Linked DNA regions of Drosophila melanogaster. The protein of the gene in region 2 interacts with the protein of the main gene of each other region in a pairwise test. Each region holds a gene or a part of one and is shown on either strand. Other genes may lie near its edges. The genes, in order: SmydA-8, unk, CG5011 and CG4766.

Region 1 (5,680 bases), on a different chromosome or scaffold from region 2:
TGAACGACTTTTTTATTGGTTTTTTAGTTGTAACTTCGCAAAATGAAGACGCACAGATACGAAACATACTGTTTTTTGCAGCTGACAACCTCACCTAACGACCCATTTCATTTTTTAGATAATTTGGTAAAAATAATTTTTTGCGAAATTTTCACTTTTTTATAAGGGGTTACATCACGTTTTTTTTCGAAAAATGGTGAAATTTTAATATTTTTAGCTGGGAATGCCACTGGATAGGAAATTAAGCTACGAATTCAACAAGGTATGGCATTCCACATTTGATCGACTATTACAAAAGTTGTGGTTGTGCTAATGTAATAATATTTATCATGATAGCTTTAAAGGACTCATGGTCGATAATGCCCGAACGCACCCTATAATTTTTCAGTTGGTATTCACGCTTTTTGATATTTGGCATTCGAGTGCGTTCTATTCGCTTCATGCCGCTCAGTCTAGCTTCCGTTCGATTGGGCCAATAAAATGCGCGTAAAAGTGAAAATAGATTTGGAATGTGGGCGAACTATAAGTTGCTGGCGGTCCGTAGCAGGAGCAGGGAGAACGGAGGTCGTACGCTTTAGAACTGATTTACGTATTACCGCAGAGAATGGGCGTGGCAGGACGAACCTACTCCACTTTGGAACATGTGACAGTGCGTGACATTCGCGTCGGAAAGTGAACAGCTGGGAGTGGAGCCACCCCATTTTTGGTCATGGTCCTGGTACTGGTCCTTCTCCCCACCAGGTCACGTGTTGCGACGCTCACCTCGTTTTGCGGCCTGGTGTCTCCGACCCCTTGGCCCCTGGAACACGCAACTCATTGGCCAGCGAAGCCCTAATTTATGTCCCGGCCACACGCACTGCCATATGTAGTTAGACCCGCAGAAAGTGGGTTGCACTGCCAGCCAGGATTGTAGTACTCATTTCTTATTCTACGTTGTATGCATTTAGGCAACACTCTCCAGGGCTTACAGTCCTATCCATGAGCGGCCTATTACGTCGTGCACTCATTTTTGGCCAGTGTAGCAGCGTGGGAGACAAACACGCTTGGTATCAATGGCGCTGCATCTCCACAAATAATTTTGCCAACCGTTCAGATTGTCGTAGGGCGACAGAAATCGGATGAAGATGGTGATAGCGATGGGATGGGGGTGGAGGTGGGGATGAGATGGGGTGGGTGGTGCTCCTATGGCTTCGTTTCAGTTTATGGCGTCCATAACCAACCGCAAGCAGACTTCGGTGAAGGGGGCTGGGGGTTTCAGCCACAGTGAGGTGTTTGGCGAACAAATTGACAGTGGGAAATGTTCTTTGATGGCTGAATGGCTGATGGCTGATGGCTGCATCAGTGCCTTTCACTATGCCCCTCGCGATCGTCAACCCCCGATGGACGCCCACTAGCGAATCCAATTGAACGCAACAATAGCAACCACAGCAGCGGCAGCAACAACCACACGGCAACAACAGCTCAAGCACAAATTGAATAAGAGTCAAAAGCAAAATCCGCTTTGCGTCGTCCCAGCCAAATGTCTCTATTTCCCAGTGGCGCACCAAGTGGCTCCACGTTCCCGACTCCGAAAACGTTTCGAAACCGCTTATCGCGGAATCAAAACTTTTGGCTTCTCACAAAAAGTGTTGAACTTTTGTGTCAAGCTGCCTAAAAATAGCCCGAATTTTGGCCAAAACAATGAACACAATGCTCAAGTTCTTTCCTTCGGGGAAAATGTTATTTTGGATTTCGTAAATGGGAACTTGGCGGCGAGTGTGTGTGCTTTCAGTGTGCGTGTGCCTTGGAAAAAATCATATTTGACTGTTGTCGCTGTTGTCCCCTTGCCCCCCCATTTCCCGTTCCTCACCTCCCGGCCCCTTTCGTCAATCGCCTTCCCCCGTTCCCTGGTGGATGCCTCTAATTTGTGTTTTTTTAGTTGTGTCTAATGCTCTCCGAGGGCGTCGGTGTGTCCACGTCATAAGCGTCGCTGCTTTGCTGGGTTGCTTCCACTGTCGGCAGTCAGTTGTTGCTGTTGTTGCTGATGTGCTGGGTGGTGTTGCTGCTGCTGCTGCCGCTGCTCATGTTGCTGCTGTCGTCGCTGTCGCCACTATATCGTTGCTATTCCCGCGTAGTCCGCCCAGCTGCGCGGAGACATCTTCACTCGCCGAGTTGCCGCGCGTCGCGTTGGTTCGCCGCAGTTCCGACCGACCTCCCACCGCAGTCGCCATGTCTACTGCTGCCCAGTGCCCGCCTCCTCGCCCAGGCGGTGGTGGAGGAGACACCACACTGGCCGCCCTGAGCGCTCACATGGCCCCTTGTCGCGACACCACGCCCGAGCAGCTGGCGCAGCTGATAGACGTCCACTTGGGGGATCTGCGCCAAGAGCAGCCCAACTGGACCATCAGCTCCTCCACGGTGGCAGGTCGTGGGGTGTTTGCCACCCGAGACATAGCCGCCGGCGAGCTGATCTTCCAGGAGCGAGCCCTAGTCACCGGTCCGACGGCGAGAAAGGGCCAACTGAGCAGCTGCATCTGCTGTCATGAGACCCTGCCGCAAACGGGATTCCTTTGCCGGCATCGCTGCACCCTGCCCGTATGCGAAACCTGTTCGGATTCCGAGGAGCACCAGGCGGAGTGCGAGCACTTCCGTCGCTGGCAGCCCAAAGACGTGGATGCGGAGCAGGAGCAGGTGAATCCTATGTCGCTGAGGATCCTCACCGCAGTGAGGGTCTTCCACTTGGGCAAGGAACAGCGGCATCTGGTGGACGCCATGCAAGCGAATGCGGAGCGCGCTTACCGGCGGGAGATCATCCAGGCGGCCCAATGCTTCCGGAACTTCCCCACCACGGATCGGGTGTTCATGGACCAGCTGTTCCGGATCGTGGGCGTGCTCAATACAAATGCCTTCGAGGCTCCTTGCCGCTCTGGCGGCCACGAGACGCTACTGCGGGGTCTGTTCCCGCTCACGGCGATCATGAACCACGAGTGCACCCCGAACGCTAGTCACTACTTCGAAAACGGTCGACTGGCGGTGGTTCGGGCTGCGCGCGATATTCCCAAGGGCGGTGAGATTACCACGACCTACACCAAGATCCTCTGGGGCAACCTCACCCGGAATATCTTCCTCAAGATGACCAAGCACTTTGCCTGCGACTGCGTGAGGTGTCACGACAATACTGTGAGTACGGTACCAATAGGAATCCTGGTCTCCTTGGGTAATCCCTCCTCCCACCATCTGCAAGCTTAGCTTCTGACTATGGTCATTTCTAGGCTGATGGAGTTTCTTCATGGTTAATAGCAATCTTCGCCAAACTTTCCACCAATCCTCTTTTTCTGAACCTACCTGATAGCTATCATTCTCCCTATCCGCCATCTGCATCGCGACCATCGCAATATATTTGTCCCAAAACAAAAAACAATAATTGCAATTTGAAAAGCTCTGAATTTCGGGCACATTTCTTGGCCAACGCCGATGTCACCGGCGTTGTGAAAGTGCGCGTGTGGTAGGGATGTGAGTGGCATGGGCATATATGTATGTACGTACGCGATCCACATATCCGGCCGGCCACATCTATTTATGTGGCCGCTCTCTGCCGCTCTGGGATGAGTTGAATAATGGCCTCTGGCGTTGGCAGTGGCCGCCGCTGGCCAGGCCCCCTGACACAAATGCGTTCCCTAATTAAATTAGTTATATGATTTGCATCAACCAGGGCCCAGGGGCGCGCCCAAGGGGGGGTGTCCATCAAGTGGGCAAAGGGGCAACATTTGGTAACAGGCACACGCACTTTTCCCTGCTAAAATGACTGCCTGATGGGCATAGTAACAAAATTACTTGTTGGGAGTTGGGTGAGCTTGAGACATCTTTGTCACAGCCCTGCAGTCGTTGGACAGTTCCATTCTTGCTATTAAATATACACCTTAAACGCACTCTTGTTCAAGACCTCCGAGGCATACATTATCAGTCCATTGATCCTATTTGCCTATATGCCTTTAATGTGGGCATCCAAAGTTCCCGGGCTACTAACACACACCCCCAAAATTTACATGAGCATGACACACAGAATGTTAATTTTGATTTCGATTCTGATTTCGATTTCGATTTCCATTTCGATTCGGAGTGGAACCAACTGTACGCCGTGAATGGACAGAGGCGGACGTGAACCCGCCGGATCTTTGACTGCAGATTCCACCCCCGATTTCCTGATTCCCCCCAAGTCCTTCGATTCACTGACCATTGTCTTCTTGCAGGAAAACGGCACCTACTTGTCGGCGCTTTTCTGCCGGGAACAGGGCTGCCGTGGCCTGGTGATTCCCGTCCAGACTCGGACACTGCAGCCGGACTGGCGGTGCATCACTTGCGAGAACGTGTTCCCGCACGCAAAGATGGCCAAGTACCAGGACTTCGCGCTGAACACCATCAATAACCGTATCAACTCGTGCAGTGTCCAGGACATGATCCACTTCATCAACGAGCTGTGTCCGCGCTTCTGTCCCTCCTCGAACTACGTGCTGATCGAGGCCAAGCTGAATGTGATCTGGAGGATGACGCGGTTCGACCACGAGGAGTACACTCCGGAGGAGATGGGCCACATGGATCGCTACCGCGAGGAAGTGTTGGCCATCCTCCACAAGCTGGGAGCCGGAGAGTGTACCCTAAAGAAGCTGATCACCGGGGAGATTCAGTGATTCATATTTAGCTTCAAAACTTCATTTTTTTTTTTTTAGGTGTGAATGAGTGAGTGCTTTTGTGAATGCGTACTTTTCGGGGTGGCGTGAATCGCATCCGAGCCCTTTGTTGCTATTTTATTCGTAGTCACTTAAGAATCCAATAAACACCGAATCCTTTCGAACTATATCTGCAATCCGTTCTGTATGTGGACCCCTTTCGAGGAACGCCTCTGTGCCCTGACAATAAATATGAATAGCCAACTAGCCACGAAGATCACCGGTCTGCGATTGACCAACAAGTTGAAAATTGCCACGATGTAGATTCTCTGGGCTCTCATTCGTTTTTTTGGGATCGTCTTGGCAAGCACTGTAGTATGTGAAAGGAATGCTGTGTTGACGAGGAGCAAGTCGACTGGGCAGTATGTATATGGCATGTGATTTATATGGTACATGGATTATCTATTGCATTTCTGGGGCTATTGGCCAAAACTGATTGCAGTAATCTTAACGCGTATGAATTTCTAGAGCCTGTATCTTTCGTATTTGATTTCGTAAAAAATAGATTGTTTCAAGCACAACGCTACTTACCCGCACATTTCATATTCCCATTGTCAGGGGCATGTGTGGTTTTTCAGCCAATCGATTTCAAAATGGACTTTTGTGGTTTTCTGTTGTTGTACAAAAGCTTTCTTTAATGGCGCATACACAGACGGACACACACGCACAGGCATACAGTCATAATAGAATAACAATAATTTGGTATGGGTACATGTACGTGTAGGCATACATTTGCATGCACTTGCAATGGGGGCCTTTAATGGGGTCTGGGGTCAGGGGTCAGGGGTCTGGGGTCTGGGGTCAGAGGTCATGGCTCGGGGGACAGAAGCCGGCGGTTCGGTGACAGTCGCCCGTACACAATTATTCGGATATGCCATAGCTGCGGCATACACGCATACCTCGGTACATGGCTGGCCTAGGTCTAGGACTTAATCTAACCAAGTGTCGTGTGCATCAGTACGTATCTAGATTTA
Region 2 (8,041 bases):
ATTTGTTCTAGTTGAATGAACGTGTAACAACTTGCAGTTAGTATGCTATTGGCCCGAGCGCAGCTAGTTGACTGAGTAAACAAACAGAGTTGGCAGCAAGTAAACAAATGGCCCAGAGCAACAGGTAATTTCCGTACAGCATCCTCCAGGCGCATGTGCGGAAATTGCGTTAGAATGGGCCGATAAATAGCTATCTGAAATTCAAATAGCAAGCTTTAACTAGGTGCATTTTCTTATAACTAAAATAATCTAGTTGGATGCACTTTAAAACGAACAAACCAAACAAATAATATCTTTTCAAATTTAAAGTTAAAATTTAAAAAACCGTTAGAGCGCTGCCATATTGTCAAAAAGGATAAACGAATGGCAGCCTTGCACCATCGGTAGCGCCATCTAGCGTGCATCGGTAGATACCGCCACCGAATATTTAAATATTATATATAAATATATTTGTAGCTTAATAAATATTATTTTAGCATCTAGAATCCTTAGTATTTATATCAGAATCAGTTCATCCGAGAAATACCTATCACCGCATGTTCCATCTATCAATTTCTGCTTTCACTTAAAAGTTGCCTGGCGTGTGAATTCCTACTAATAGATAGCTCGAAAATAATAATAAGTCAAAATGTCGATGATATTCAACACGGAGTATGGCTACCTGGAGGCCCTAACGCGCGGATTCAAGAACGGCATGCTAAAGCACTCGGACTATCTAAATCTGACCCAGTGTGAATCCCTCGAGGACGTAATGATCAGCATCCAGGGCACGGATTACGGTCTCATCTTTGGTGGCGAACAATCAGCGCCGTCCGTTGAGGTGATCGAAAGATGCCTTAGGGATCGTCTGCTGCAGCAATACTACTACATACGCAGTCATTCGACGGAGCCGCTGACCACCTTTATGGAGTTCATACGATATCCGTTCATGATCGATAATGTGGCGCTTCTGGTCGCTGGCCTAAACAATCACCGATCCATGAAGCGTCTGCTAAGAATGTGTCATCCGCTGGGCGAATTCGATCAACTGGGCGCCATCGAAGTGGCCTCGAATTCTGCGGAGCTCTTCGACGCCGTTCTAATTGACACGCCCATCGCTCGGTTTGTGCCACGCGATTTGCCCATGGAGTCGTTGCGTTACCTCGACGTGGAGATTGTGCGTGCCCATCTGTATCGTGCTTATTTGGAGAAATTCTACGCCTATTGCAGCCAACTGGGCGGCAATACCGCCAACGTGATGACCAATCTATTGTCCTTCGAGGCGGATCGTCGGACCATTACAATAGCTGTGAACGCTATTGGCAGTGATATCATGTAAGATATCTGTGTTGCTATGAAATTCTTCATATTATACTCATAATGCCCACCTTCCAACACTCAGACCGAAGGAGCGTCTAAAGATGTTCCCCACCTGTGGCTACCTGCCCAAAATAGCCTTGGCCTCCATGTCCACTTTAAATGATACGGATAAAATAAGGGATGTTTGCAATGTGTTCGATGGCTATGGCAAAATGTTTGACAATTTGGAGCGCGACTCGGACGGCATGATTACGCTGGAGGACCGCTTTCTCATGATGGAGGCCAAGAAGAATGTGCAGACCTTCCTGCAGCAGTACCATTTCGGGATCTTCTACTCGTTCATTAAACTTAAACAGTTGGAGGTACGCAATATCGTCTGGATTAGCGAATGCATAGCGCAGCGACAGACGGACAGAATCAACGCCTTCATTCCCATACCCTTGGACTAGAAACGCTTTTGCTTTCCTTCTTCGAAATGTTTTCCCTTTGAAATGTGTGTTATAATATATAGGCGTTGTTATAAATAAAACACATGCATAACAATTTCGCATTAATTTTGGCGCCAAATTTGTTTCGTTTGCGTCCCGGCTAACCACCCATCAACTGGGGTGTGTGTATTTGCTAACCAATCGATATGGACGATGCCGACAAAAATTATCGATATCAATCGACTTAAGGCCATGGATGCCCGACGCACCGATGTTTTTTGCACATCACTAACAACGATGTTGGCAAATGAAACGAACAAGCTGCTGCTTTCCTCGCAGCAGGAAAAACCAAATCACTACACGTAAATAGATGCTAACTAATGCAAACGATGGTTAATTTGACGTGCAACCTTTCCGCCAACCGTTTCAGCTACCTGAAGGAGTTCCGCGTGGAGCAGTGCCAGTCGTTTTTACAGCACAAGTGCAACCAGCATCGCCCCTTCGTCTGTTTCAATTGGCATTTTCAAAACCAGCGTCGGCGTCGTCCAGTGCGAAAACGCGATGGCACCTTCAACTACAGTGCGGATAACTATTGCACCAAATACGACGAGACCACTGGGATTTGTCCCGAGGGCGACGAGTGAGTAGAAATGTTGTGAAATTCATAGTTTCTGATGGCCCGTGAAAACGCTGGACGGGACGATTGCAGTGGCGGAGGATGGATGAGACAGCAATAGCGAACGACGTTGTATTTTTTTTGTTTCCTCTTTGCGCTCTCCTTCCTTCGCGATGTGTGTGTATCTCTTGTCTTCGTGTTTACAAACAAAAACCATAGTGTGTTTGTGTGCAGGGGGGTGTGGTGGGGGCGGTGGCAGGGGCCTGGCGTTGTCTGGAAAGCCAAAAGTGAAATTGTAAGTGCGTATGTGGGCGTGCTGCTTGCTGTATCTCTGTGCATGTGTATGTGTGTGCAGGCGAGGTCACCACCGTGCAAAAGTGAAAGTGATTCCAGCTCTAGTGGGCTAGCAAATTCTTATCAGCATCCGTTTTGTGGTGGTTGTTGCTCTCTTGTCGCATGTATACATGCACAGACGCTCGCATACACACAGGTACGCACAAACAAACACACGCACAGACGTAGGGCATCGCTACAAGTGTGTGCGTCATTGTTTTTATTGCGTTTCGCTTTTGCGTGTTTTCTTCTTCGTTTATTTTGATTTTCCCCCGGCAGCTTCGAAATGTACAGTTATTGTGGCTGGCGAGCTTTGGAGAAAAGCTCTGTGAAGTGTAAGAACGGGCTAAAAGTAAAACGCAATTACGCTTTGCGAGAGACAACAACAATGTCTGTTTTTATGACCCAGACTCGAGGTCCAACCTCTGACCCCGACCTCCATTCTATCCATTTATCGTTGTAGTCTCCTTACAGGGTACGAAGGTGGAAAGAAAGCGGTTTTAGTTTTGAAAGAGAAATTTCTTTTACTTATTAAAGAAATACCCTCAAACATGTATTAAAATGATGATTTTGCTGTAAATGTACAACTTTGTTGTTTTTTGTTACGGTTCTTTTTAATTAATGGGTATCATACAGTCCATTCACTTAGCCTCGTCGCCTGCTTTGACGTCACTAAAACTCCCTTTCTCCCCATTTAGATGCCCCTACTTACACCGCACTGCTGGCGACACCGAAAGGCGATACCATCTGCGCTACTACAAGACATGCATGTGCGTCCACGACACCGACAGCCGAGGATACTGCGTCAAGAATGGACTACACTGCGCCTTCGCCCACGGCATGCAGGACCAGCGCCCACCGGTTTATGACATCAAAGAGCTGGAGACCCTGCAGAACGCAGAGAGCACACTGGACAGCACTAATGCTTTGAATGCCCTGGACAAGGAGCGCAATTTGATGAACGAGGATCCCAAGTGGCAGGACACCAACTACGTGCTGGCCAATTACAAGACAGAGCCCTGCAAGCGCCCACCGCGCCTGTGCCGCCAAGGATACGCTTGTCCACAGTACCACAATAGCAAGGACAAACGTCGCTCGCCCAGAAAATACAAGTACAGGTAAGATTTCCCCTGAATTCATCCTAAAGTCAGTTTTAAACCGCGATATACCATTGTTTTAGGTCCACTCCTTGCCCCAATGTCAAGCACGGCGAGGAATGGGGAGAACCGGGCAACTGCGAGGCCGGCGATAACTGCCAGTACTGCCACACACGCACCGAGCAGCAGTTCCACCCGGAGATCTACAAGTCGACCAAGTGCAACGATGTCCAGCAGGCCGGATACTGTCCGCGCAGCGTCTTCTGCGCCTTTGCCCATGTGGAACGTAAGTATAGAGGATTCGATGAGCTAATATATAGGACTCAGCGTTGTGCTCCACAACCAGTTGTTGTAGGGATGTGTTTAGGGCCAAGTTATGATATTACAGTTCTAACTTAATGTTTGTCTTTTACTCGCCTCATCCATCAAACCGCAAATCTGTTTCCAACTATCACTCAAATCCTTTGAAAACACGTACATCAATCAATGTTTGCTTTGCCGCTCGGTGTTGCTTGTCCATGTAACTACTCCCAATCCAAATAAAGCATGTTCAATTGACGAGAAGACGCGGGATCACACGGTATACCTAAACGAGCTTATTTCCAATGCCTATCCTGATTTAAAAGCTCAGGATGCGTTTCAAAGGGTCGATAATGTACGTATTACCGAAGCAATAACACTCATCCAAATAACGCCATCGATTTGCATCGCCTAAACCTAAACGTACTACCACACATCGTTTGCCGCTCTAATCCAGCTAACCATCATCAACTAACTGCTTAACACTTTCGATAAGCCATTTAATCATGTGTCCTGCTCTCCTCGATTTTTTTCTTTTCGTTTTGTTCTCTTAGTTGTTGAACATTGATGGTAATAGCACCAATAAAATGTTGGTAGACGCTTTGGAAAACACAACAAATTTCAGCAAATTTTTAAGTTTCTCACGACCCCTGGACAGTCGTTGTGAGTATCCCAGAGTCCTGACATGCGTACGTCTAAGTTATACACTAGAAATCAGTTCTTCGTTTTGGTTGTGGACAAAGAATGTCAGCGCTTAGATAGCAAATGTCGTGACCCCTAGCCTAACTGAAATTCAATAATTTTTTGTCTTCACTCTTTGCAAGCAGCTTGCTCAATGGACGATCCGCGCGAGAACTCATTGTCGGCGAGTCTGGCCAATACTAGCTTATTAACACGTTCCTCGGCGCCAATTAACATTCCTAATACGACTCTAAGTAACTCAATTAACGGTAAGTAGTCATCAACGTCCTATGAGTGCCAACTAATTGCTAATGCTAATACTCCATTCCATTTGCACAGATTTTAACTCAGGTAGCTTTGCCGTCAACATTCCCAGCAGCTCGCTCACCTACAGTCCCACCAACCATGCCAATCTCTTCAACGTGGACGCCTTCAACTATGGCGGCTCAAACAAACTCAGCAATTCCCTTTCGGCCACCCAGAACGATAGCAGTCTCTTCTTTCCGTCGCGCATCATATCGCCTGGCTTTGGCGATGGCTTGTCGATTAGTCCTTCGGTAAGGATATCCGAATTGAATACCATACGCGACGACATCAACAGCAGCTCGGTGGGAAATAGTCTGTTCGAGAACACTCTCAATACGGCCAAGAATGCGTTTAGCCTTCAATCTCTGCAGTCGCAAAACAACAGCGACTTGGGTCGCATCACCAATGAGCTGCTCACGAAGAATGCTCAAATTCACAAGTTGAACGGACGTTTCGAGGACATGGCATGCAAGCTAAAGATCGCGGAGCTCCATCGGGACAAGGCCAAGCAGGAGGCGCAGGAGTGGAAGGAGCGCTATGACCTAGCACAGATACAGCTAAATTTGCCAGCAGAGCTTCGGGACTTGTCCATACAGAAATTGAAGCAATTGCAGGTTAGTCGCTTAATTAATTTCCCAATTCCATGGGTTTTAACCTGCTACCATTTTAGTCCAAGCTGCGCACCGACTTGGAGGAGGTCGACAAAGTATTATATTTAGAAAATGCCAAGAAGTGCATGAAGTGCGAGGAGAACAATCGCACGGTTACTCTGGAGCCGTGCAACCACCTGTCTATTTGCAATACATGCGCTGAATCGGTCACCGAGTGTCCCTACTGTCAGGTGCCGGTAATAACCACCCACACCTAGAACATGTTTTATCAGCAACAGGACCACAAGTGGCCCTTTGGCTGAAAATCGGATAGGGATGGGAAAGGGGATTCCGATGGGATATGAATGGATCATGGGGATCAAGACCGCGAACAGCATGACAATGTGGTACTCACAAAGCAAACTTTAGTCTTAAGCAAAACGTTGAAACTTTTGAACAGTTAGGATTTGACACATGCCTACTAATTGTGCATGTGGCAGGGAATATATAATTTATGTTTTCAATCTACTCAAAATATGCAAATTATCGTCATGAATATTAGTAATTACTAGGCACAAACTATTAATTGAATTAGCTAGCTGCTCTAAACGAATAAGTATGTAATTTTATTTTTGTTTATTTTTTCTCATATCGAATCGAATACAGGAAAAAACATTTTAAATTGATTTTGTACTATGATTTATGTAACCAACTCTTTTAATTTTGTTTAATATTCAATGTTTAGGCATACATATTTTCTAATCTACTGCACGAATTTGCAATGTCTCATTTATTTTTTTTTTAACCACATATGTATCTCTATATTTGTATTTAAATATGCTACACTTTCAGTCATATTGTACTTTTCACTAGTATTACATAAGAAATTATGAGAACTAAACAATTACAAGATGTAATTGAATGAAAGATATATAAATATATAATATATTAATTTTTCTAGACACTTTTAGCAATTGACTATTAACAAATTTATAGAAACCAACAAATTTAACAATATATTGTCGCATAGAAGAGCAGAAAACAACCACAAACAAACAAATACCACCAGTGATTTTATATAAGCCGATTTTCAAACTGTATTTTTTATGTATGTGTTTCAAACTTGTGAATGCAAACTACAACTAAAAGCCAAGACAATGGTCATAAAATCAATGTAACTGACGGGTAATCAATATTAGTCAGTACTCAGCTTTTATTTTCCTTTTTCAAATGCACAAAAGTAATTATAGACGTTGAAACGAGAAGTAACTAAAGGCGACAACGCTTTTCCTTATCGAAAGTTCATTTCATTTTGTCTTATTGAAAACCAAGTTGAATGTATTAAAACACTTTGATTTTTGTTTAGGCCTTGGTGCAGCTCGTGTAAGCCAATGCCAATTAACCAGTCACAAAATTATCAACTTACGTATATAATCTATTAGGTTACTTTGTGATTTGAATAGTGCTTTAAGTACTTACTTTGCAGATGACTTCAATTTTCATTTTACTTTCATAGTCTCAACTGGACGCTTCCAAATTAGTAAAAGCATAAAATGAATCGTCAATGTCAAAACGTAGTATTTAAGTCATATTAAATCCAGCATTTGGCTGATTGTACAAGAACGAATATGAACAGATATATATTTATGGGAAATTTGAACGCAGATTCGATGAGTGTGATGTTGAAAGCATAAACAATAAAAGTAACTCGATACAGCGAAATGAACAGAGTTTAATGAAAATGTTAACCAGAGTTAATGTAAAACCGTCTTCAAAAACCATTGTATTTTTCTGCGAATTAAAATTATCAAACGTAATCAATTGGACAATGTTGAATGAAACTGAAACGTGTTGTTAGCTAGTTGAGTTGAATTGATAAAGATGTAATCAAAATGAAACTGTTCTGGGAATGAATTGAATATGAATATGAAATCAACATAGGCATTTATTTGAAACAAAAGCAACACTATGAATATATATATACAAATGAAAAACTGAATTATATTATTACAAAGCTAACTAGGAAAGGCAGCGCAAAGGCTCTTATCTCTGTGTGTGTTTGTACTATGTTTTGTAGAAGCCAAATCAGCAAGAAATACAAATAATTAATAAATATAACAATAAACAATTGTGTGTTAACTTATAAATGCTTTAATAGTTTATGATACAAGTGTACACAAAAAAACTAAAAATCACGAGAACAAACAATGAGAAAATTGGTTTTATAATGGAGCTGTTGAGTCGCAAATCTATTGTGTGTATTACCAAACTAAACTGAAAACTGAATGCATACCTCTCTCAGAATATCACTGACTCTCATCACCGGAGACACAGTTTGAAAGATTTGCTAATTTACTTTATGAATCTCCACGAGATGTACATGGGATGTCT
Region 3 (3,072 bases), on a different chromosome or scaffold from region 2:
TTCCTCAACCTGTTCCTGATCCTGTTCCTGCTCCTGGTCGTACATCCTCTTCCGCCTGGCTGACCGATACAGTCGCCGGATGAGAGCTCCATATGGTTTCCGCGCCATCAGGTGAGTGGTTGTCTTGTGTATTTCGTAGACGCAATTCGTTTCGAGACACACAAAAGGCTCCTCCACCTGCAGGATAGTTTCCGATCTGAGATTGGGTACTGGCATTGGTAGCAGACTCCTCTGTTTCAAGATATTGATCTTGCTCTTCTTGACCACCCTCCTTTTCTTGGCAGGATTGGGTGCTGTAATGGCACCTTGGATCTCCGCCTCGAAGGATTCCTGGCGCCTGGAGGCCTTGCTCTTCAAGGCCGAAACCGTTTTGTATCGGTTCTGGATATCGGTAATGTTTCTCAAGGTCTGCTTAAAAGCAACCTCGACTTGCTCGACTTCCTGCAGCGTATTCCACAGATTCTTTTCCATAATTTGTTCACGAGAAAATTTTATACAATAAAAAATTTGAATACAAGAATGCACACTCCTCCCACTTCAAAAGATCATACGAATATACAAATCCTGTTCGATTGAAAAATCAGGGAAGCTAGATGTGTGATTTTCTCGTTGCGTTGTCATAGGGAAATTCCGATATGACCACCAAGTACTCACCTTATCGCAAAACAGGCTGATAAAATGTTTTAATGGGAAAACCAATGCCTCCAGCAGTCTTTCGTCACTATATATAGCGTGGAAATCGGGGTAATACTTTAGTTCAGAACGGAAATCGCTTTGGAAACATGCCACCACCACCGCACCAGCCCCACCAACCGCACCCACCGAAGGGTCCTGCGCATCCTGGGGATCACCAACCAGGACCGCATCCCCCTCACCACGGAGATCCGAAGCCCCATCACGGACATCACTAGGCCCATGGACAAGGACTATAAATAAGATTCAATTTTATACAGAACAAAACAAGATGGATACTTTTTAGGGAACTTAGTTTCTAATAGAAAGTCTTAAAAACTCTTCAAACCAAAGAAATAAAAGCCTGTACAAAATACATAGCTCTACTCTTTTCTATATCTTCAATGTTTATGATCTTGAATTGGTGATACTGCTTAATGCATTCTAAGCTTCCATTAATTTGAACAAAGCATACATATGATTTGAAGATCTAAATGCTTTTTAAATTATAATACACGTCCTAAGTGCAACGTACTAAGCTTAAGAATTTGTTGCTGATTGTTGCTGATTGTTGCTTACAAAAATAAAATATTATAACATCTCCATATTGTTGTACTTATGAACTACATGCAAAGTCGTCATTAACTTATTCTTTAAGTCACATATAGACATATCAGTAAACAATTCGCTTGTTTGTTATTACTAATTTCGAATGTCATACATTTGTTTTTATTGAGCGAAGTGTTGTTGTGGGAAAACCCGAAACTTACTTATCAACCGAACTGGGCTCGTCTTATCTGAAATTTAGATAAGATTACAACGTATTCGAATCATTTTCCTATAAATGGTTTGACAGGATAGGCTTTAGCTTAGTACTCAACTAAAGTCAGAAAAGTCAAGATGCCACCTCCACCGCACCACGACCACCACCATCATCATGGGCCACCACACCATGGACCTCCCCACCATGGGCCACCGCACCATGGTCCTCCACACCACGGGCCACCGCATCACGGGCCACCACACCACGGACCGCCGCACCATGGACCTCCGCACCACGACCACCATCATCATGGACCACCACACCACGGTCCTCCAATGCATCCTCGATGAGAACTATAATACAATATAAGCCGAATTTAACGTTATAAACTGATATGGAAAAACTTAATCGTTAACTGTGATTAAGCCACAAACTAACATTAAAATATCTTCACTAACTTCTAGTTAGTTTCACCAAGAGCAAAATGTTTTTATTTTAGAAATTGTTTAATTTTATAACACCATTATAAAGATACTGATTCTAATAAGCAATTAGAAGAATATTGAAGCAAGAATTGATTAAGTATGATTAAGTATCAAAAAGCCAGCAGATAAGGTAGACAATTATATATAAAAGAAAGTCCCTCTCCACTAGAATGCAGATAAGATTACAGCCTACTGAAACTATGTTACTTTTGTATAAAAGGTCTGGCAGGAGTGAGCCAGTTTAGTGTACAACAGAAGCCCGCCAAGCAAAGATGCCTCCTCCACCACCGCACCACCACCACAACCCGCCGCCTCATGGGCCACCGCCCCACGGACCACCGCACCATGGACCTCCGCACCATGAACCACAGCCCCCGTTCCACACGCCAGTGCATCCGATTTACCACGAACCTCCTCACGGAAACAGCTCCGGCTACAATCCTCCGCCGCCGCATGGTCCGTATCCATATGGTCCAGGATACGTGGCCCCAGGACCTCCAATGCATCCGCGATAAGAACTGAACTGTAATCTAGATCGGTTAATATAGTGTGATATCAACAAATGTACATTTGTGTGTGATTAAAAAATATGCTGCTTTTAAATATATAAACTAACTTTAGTTAGTCACGCCTATGTGTGATTCAAGTTTTATTACTTGTAGCTTCTATGCCAACAAACAATCCCATTTCGAGTATGATGATATATGCGCCTAATAAGATAAGGACGGTTTTTTGGAATTCCCATAGGACCGTCATAAAGATAATCCATTGAAAAAGTCGTCATTCTTTAGGTGCGTTATGATAGCTTATTTTCGGGTACTATCAAATTCTTGAGGTAACACGTCATTACTAATATTTCACTAGGAAAACAATCAATCAATCAGTCAATCAATCACTGGATTCTTTATTAATACGTGGGCTTATCGTATTAGTCGAATGTCATGAATTCTTAACTGAGCATATCTTTGATTTATTGGCTCTTTTCCATTCCATTTGTTCAAGAATAATATTTTTGTTTTTATTTTGAACGCTGAACTATTAGTAATCATGCATATAAACCTGTTGTAAACCTTATCAATGAGTTACTTCAACTCAACGCTAGATAAAGCTGTGCAATCTTATCGATAGGAAATACGCATTTGCTTACATTAG
Region 4 (5,592 bases), on a different chromosome or scaffold from region 2:
TCCAAAAAAAAAGAAAGAAAGAAAAAAAAAAACGAAAAATAATAAAGTAAAGCGAAGGGACAAAAGAACCGCAGAACAAAGCAGGCAAACCACTCGGTTTTCGTGGATCCAGCCCCCGCCAGAAAATAACCATAAATAAGGGTAATAAAAGTGATGCTCAGTTGTCGCTGCAGCAGCTGCATCTTCCCAGCCTCAGATCCCAAGACGATTCCGATCCACATCCAGATCCAGATATGTCGTCGTTTGCAAATAAATATTCGCCACTGCCAATAATCATAACATTAACTCAACCGCCGATCGAACTAATGAGATCCCAGCACATCCTTTCCAGATTTGTCCTTTTTTTGTGGTACATCTTCCGTTTGTCAGCCTCATTTAAATATATGAATATCAGTTAAGAACATCCATTTTTTAACTCTCCATGTTCTTTCAGCAAGTGTTGTGTAAGTATTTGCTAAGCAATCAAGTGATTTAAAATACAATCCCTATTGATAGGAAAACAATACCTGGAGTGTTGCCTTTGGCTATCCTTGAATTTATTCAAGCATTTTTTACATTAGCAATCTAGGATTATGTTGTACTTAAAACAAACTGCGGATAATCGTGGTAAATGTTAGGCATCGCATAATAGACATCGACATACATAAATATGTGTATATGTATATGTAAGTAGTAAAACAATGTTAAGTTGGACTTGGAACGATCAATGGAATCTGTATCTCCCTCTGTTCTAGCGCTATATGTATATATTATATATTTTTTGTATGTTCGTTTTGCTTTGATCTAGGATCTGCGAACTGTGAAACAATCGTATACGTCGAGTGTGTATAGCCACCGTGTAAAAGGAGCCGCCTGGACAAATGCTCTTTTTTCATTCTCTCGATTTTTCGATTTTTCCATCCGGACTTGCGAACCGGCGAGTCCATTGTTCGCCGGCCAAACAAAGGATGTGTCGTGAGCGTCGAGGGGCGAGTTATTAAAAACAATATTCGAGGCTTAGCCGGATCGCTTGGATGGGCAGATATATATCTCGAATCGCATCGAGTCGAGTTGAGTCGAGTCGAGTCGAGTCGAATGGGGAGTGGACTTATCTCGCATCTTCGCATTAACACTTTCGCACACACACACACACACACGCGCACGCACGCAGACAGTCACATATACACAGACATGGCACAAAATGGCCGCCAAGGAGCTGTGCTTATGCGTATGTATTTATTCGCATATGTACCTTTCATCTCCGACTTGCCTGGCACCTCATACACATCAGCACTCCCCCGACTTCGGATGGGTCGATATTTGCGTGACTGCAAGAAGAAGTTAGTCAAATCAACAATATGTGAATGGAGCAAAAGAATCTAATCTAACGGGTAAAAAAATAAGAACAATATTCACTCTATGAGTGCGGTTAATAATTATAAATTCCTGCCAAAAATGTCATCGCCATTATCGACCAGTCGTGACCTTTAACCTCTGACACCTTACAACTTCTCAAAGGCGTTGGCATTTGTGAGGAGCTCGCGGGTCAAGCGCCACACCTGCTTGGCCGCCTGCTCCAAAGCACTGGGGGATTTACCCTTGAACATGTCCAGTGCGGGAAGGAAGTAGTGGGGACAACGGCGATACTGCAGACAGGATATCAGCTGCAGGAATATCCCATTGATGCGGTCAGCGATGCAGCCCTCGTCCCACTCAAAGTCCCGCGGATGCTTCTCGCACTCGTAGAGCAGCAGGTTCTTCAGGTGATACGCACTGATGGGATTGCCTGGTAAATCCAGATGCCTGTCCCTCAGGGTCTTCAGCATGCTCAGACAACGTCGACGACAGCCACCTGAAAGGAATTCAATATGAGATTTAAATACACCAGATTTCAAATTCCCAAACTATACTAAAAGTTGCTAGTAAATTGTGTGATCTTTTCTGTAAGTGTAAAGGTGTATCCATAAGATGTTTACCTTGCAGCAGACGGTTTTCGGCCTCGAAGAAGCTGAGCACCCAGGCATCGCCCTCCATGCTGGCGGCATTGTTGTTCTTGTTCTGCATGATGACGCTCTCCTTGGACAGAAGATCGAAGCCCTCGGTCTTGACCTCCGCCACGATGTTGGGATGTGGCCACGGGAGATGTGGTACCGGCCAGTGGGCCGCCGATCTTGGCCAGATGCCTGAGCACTTAAATGCCGGCGTAATCTGGACCACGAATCGCTCCCGAATGCGCAACTTCACCTCGCTGGTGTCGCCCACCATTTTGACCATGTCGCGGTAGACACTTTTATCGCACGCCTGGGCCACCAGAGTCTGGAAACGGGCACGGATCTTCCGGGAGGACAAATAACCACTGGCCGTTATGAACTCCACCCACAGGGACATGGACCGCTTCCTTCCATCGCTCAGCTTCAGAACAGCACATCCCGGCAAGGTGCCATCGTCCACGAAATTGAAGACACCCATTTGATTCAGATACAGCACTATCTCGAATTCATTCGGGGATATCACTTCAACGCCCTCGAATCTGTAAAAGTGATGTTAACTATTTCGATGAAACCGCTTACTTACAATACTATATATATATTTTTAAATCTATATATTAATCTGATAGTTTATCGTGTTGAAATGAGTATAATAGGGGGCGACTGCTACTCCGTTTCTGGTGGCGAGACCTCGATGAGCATGACTTGTCAGTTAACTGACAATGACTCTGCACTTTGGTTGTAATGATCGCAATGGAGTGAAGAGGATCGGATTTGATTGCAATGGTGTGGAACTACTGGAGTGAGAAGTAGCCGCGATGACAGTCATCAGGGCACTGGAATTACCCAGATATCTTGTTGATGGCTCTGTGGTTGGGAACACTAGACATCTCTGATCGGATGAGCAGCTCTCGTTTTTATTAGCTAACTTATGCATCGGCTTAACATTAGGTAATATAGTTATTAATATATGGTTATTAAGAAACTAAAGAAAAGATACTGAGATACTAATGAAAAGATACTGAAAAAGTTTACCTGCCATTGCACTCGACGAGGCTGGAGATGAATCGCGGCTCCTGCAGTTCCACCTCTTTGAGGATGTCCTGGACGATCTTGCAGATCTCCCGGATGGCGGTGGCCGTCTTGTACATCCTGGCCTGAACCCTCTCCGTGCAGAATCGATTCATCTGATAGACCATGCGCGTCTGGGCGGCCATCATGTCCGGCGGCACCAGCATGGTACTCAGTTCGAGTTCCACCAAGCTCCAAAAGTACCAAAAGTACAACGATCTATCTGTAGATGTATCTTTTTACCGGCGACACTTGGTCTGGCGGCCAACTTAAAAGCCAGCCAATTATGCGAAATTCGGCAGCGGGTCTCCTTCTGGACGGGACAGAACAAAGGAACAATTCAATTGTGAGTTACGGTGACAGCAGAACCAACAATGGGCACAAGTGGAGCACGACGACGACGATGACCGCGGTGTACCGAGTATGTATATGGGTATTTTAGCTTTTGGCTCTTCAATTTTAGTAGCTGCTGCCCGCAGATACAGTATCTGCATTGGCGAATTGCTGACCGAATGATGCGCTGCGCTCAATAGCGATACCCCCAGCCTGATGCCGCTGCCGATGCCGATGCCGATTCCGAGTACGAATCGAAGTCAGCCAAACGATACTGATACCGATACCGAAGTCGCGGCTGGCTGGCGTTGTAAATCTCGCGGATATTTACAGCTTCGGGCAGATAAAAAAAAAAGCGCTGAAAGTGCAGTTTGGCCCGGCTGCAGCGAAGTATCTCAATATCCATGCCAGTATCTAACAAATCCGCCATCTCGGTGGCAGTGGCATGAATGGGACTCACAGGCTCAGATACACACAGCTGCACACACAAAGATACAGATACATGTCGGTGCTGTCACGTGACAGGGGTCTCTGTCTCGTGCCACGCATTCCGACGCTTAAAAAATCGATGAGATACTCGCCACAGGCCCCGCGTATCTGTCGTATCTGCCAGATGCACTTTGACAAAAATCTAGGCACTTTAAACGTTATAGATACAATTCTAATAGTAACTCTTTCTTAGTTGTTGTAGCAAAGAGCCACTTCTTCTTATCACAAATGTTATATTTTTCAAAGAAGAAATAGTTCGGTTATTTGATTTAATATAATTCCCTACTTAAGGTTCTGACTAAAATTACTAGTTAACATTAAAATAAAAAACACAAACAGAACTTCATTTTTCTGCGTGTACTAAAAACAAATACGCTCTCTGTCTGTCTCTCTGGCCTGCATGCGTATGGGTGTATCTATGGGGTTGCCTGCTTGTGTATCTGTGAGAGCGGCGCGTTGCCATTGGCCCGTCGAGGCCACGCCCCATTTGGCGGCCGTTACGCTGCGGCGCCCTCTTTGAAGTCTTGCGAGCCGCGGTGTGTGTATCTGTGTGTAAATTTAATTTGTTAAATACATTTCGGCCTGCCATCGCGTACAAGTTGTGTGCAATAATTTATCTGAAATGTGCACTCATTTAGCAAAGAGCAGCGAGCAACGAGCAACCCTCGTCCATGTCCCACGTTTGCCGGCCGATATCTTTATATCTCGCATCTCGCGGATACACAGATACATTTACACTCATAAATATGTCGCGTGGATTAATGTGCCAGTTGGCAATTTCTGACAGCGCTCTCAGTTCCAAGCGAGCAACTTCCTCCGTTCTCGGTTACCGCCTTTCCCCCTCTCCGTACGTCTTATATACCATATAATAATATGTACATCGTGTATACATACATATATGTAGTGTACTTGATGGACATGTGGCAAGATCAAAGCGCCCGTCGCCTCCTCCAATTAGACAAATCCCAAACGCAGCCACTAATTCGAGTGGAGGCAAAACACAAACCGAACACAATTGCCGACGACCAGCAGAATTTTCGCAGAAGGAAGCGGAAAAAAGGGGTCAAGCATCCCATGGTGACGGAAGTATCTAAAGACGTATCTGCAAGGTATGGATACAAAATGTTTAAGATACATACATATATGGAAAGAGATGCAGTGAACTAAAAGTTTTAAAAAACGTATAAGTTAGGAAATATATACAGCGAAATACTTAAAAAAAACTATATATCGAATATGATCAATTAGATGGCCCTTTAAACTAATTTTGGCCACTTAACGAAGGCCCACTGTATCTTTTGTTGGCTGTTAGGTCTTTTGTTCGGCTTTATTGACATCAATCAGTGGCAGTTTGAGCAGATCTAGCCATATCTAAATAGTATTCAGCCCATTCCAATTTGTTGGGGCCGTGAATCGTTGCTGTCAGCCGAATTTTAATGGAGCCCCAATGAATGGGATACGATTGGATGGGATACCATTTTAGAGAGAACGACGATGCCAGGTGCTCCTCACCACTCCATGGCATTTGGCTGATTTTTGGCGCGCTGGATTTCCACGTAACCAGATAGATGGAGGTGGCACTGGAACTCCTATCTAGATGCGCGCATATCTGCATAAATTTCAACAAACAGAGGAAACTAAAAAAAAGGCCACAACAAGGAGAACTACACAGTTTTTTTATTTTTTTTTCCAGTTTTTCGGTTTTCAGACCCAGGATCGTGGGTCTCGGGGT

The links.
Region 1: the proteins of unk (region 2) and SmydA-8 interact in a two-hybrid assay, tested with the Drosophila melanogaster proteins (one large-scale study listed by BioGRID).
Region 3: the proteins of unk (region 2) and CG5011 interact in a two-hybrid assay, tested with the Drosophila melanogaster proteins (one large-scale study listed by BioGRID).
Region 4: the proteins of unk (region 2) and CG4766 interact in a two-hybrid assay, tested with the Drosophila melanogaster proteins (one large-scale study listed by BioGRID).

Annotation. Positions count from the first base shown.
Region 1 is NC_004354.4:2,205,013-2,210,692, reverse strand, and holds SmydA-8 (SET and MYND domain containing, arthropod-specific, member 8), read left to right. Parts: upstream 1-2,014; 5' UTR 2,015-2,208; coding exon 2,209-3,159; intron 3,160-4,229; coding exon 4,230-4,667; 3' UTR 4,668-5,178; downstream 5,179-5,680.
Region 2 is NT_033777.3:23,151,827-23,159,867, reverse strand, and holds unk (unkempt), read left to right. Parts: upstream 1-2,005; 5' UTR 2,006-2,024; coding exon 2,025-2,089; intron 2,090-2,157; coding exon 2,158-2,367; intron 2,368-3,374; coding exon 3,375-3,794; intron 3,795-3,856; coding exon 3,857-4,059; intron 4,060-4,318; coding exon 4,319-4,428; intron 4,429-4,627; coding exon 4,628-4,736; intron 4,737-4,897; coding exon 4,898-5,023; intron 5,024-5,093; coding exon 5,094-5,674; intron 5,675-5,730; coding exon 5,731-5,928; 3' UTR 5,929-7,776; downstream 7,777-8,041. Other genes in the region: VhaAC39-2 (vacuolar H[+] ATPase AC39 subunit 2), read left to right, coding at 629-1,314, 1,382-1,748. UniProt on the Drosophila melanogaster protein: Essential for late larval/early pupal development.
Region 3 is NT_033779.5:1,198,668-1,201,739, forward strand, and holds CG5011 (uncharacterized protein), read left to right. Parts: upstream 1-2,003; 5' UTR 2,004-2,192; coding exon 2,193-2,435; 3' UTR 2,436-2,553; downstream 2,554-3,072. Other genes in the region: CG5139 (uncharacterized protein), read right to left, coding at 1-471; CG43348 (uncharacterized protein), read left to right, coding at 783-911; CG43349 (uncharacterized protein), read left to right, coding at 1,573-1,785.
Region 4 is NC_004354.4:5,996,992-6,002,583, forward strand, and holds CG4766 (uncharacterized protein), read right to left. Parts: upstream 3,807-5,592; 5' UTR 3,206-3,806; coding exon 3,003-3,205; intron 2,510-3,002; coding exon 1,956-2,509; intron 1,832-1,955; coding exon 1,482-1,831; 3' UTR 517-1,481; downstream 1-516.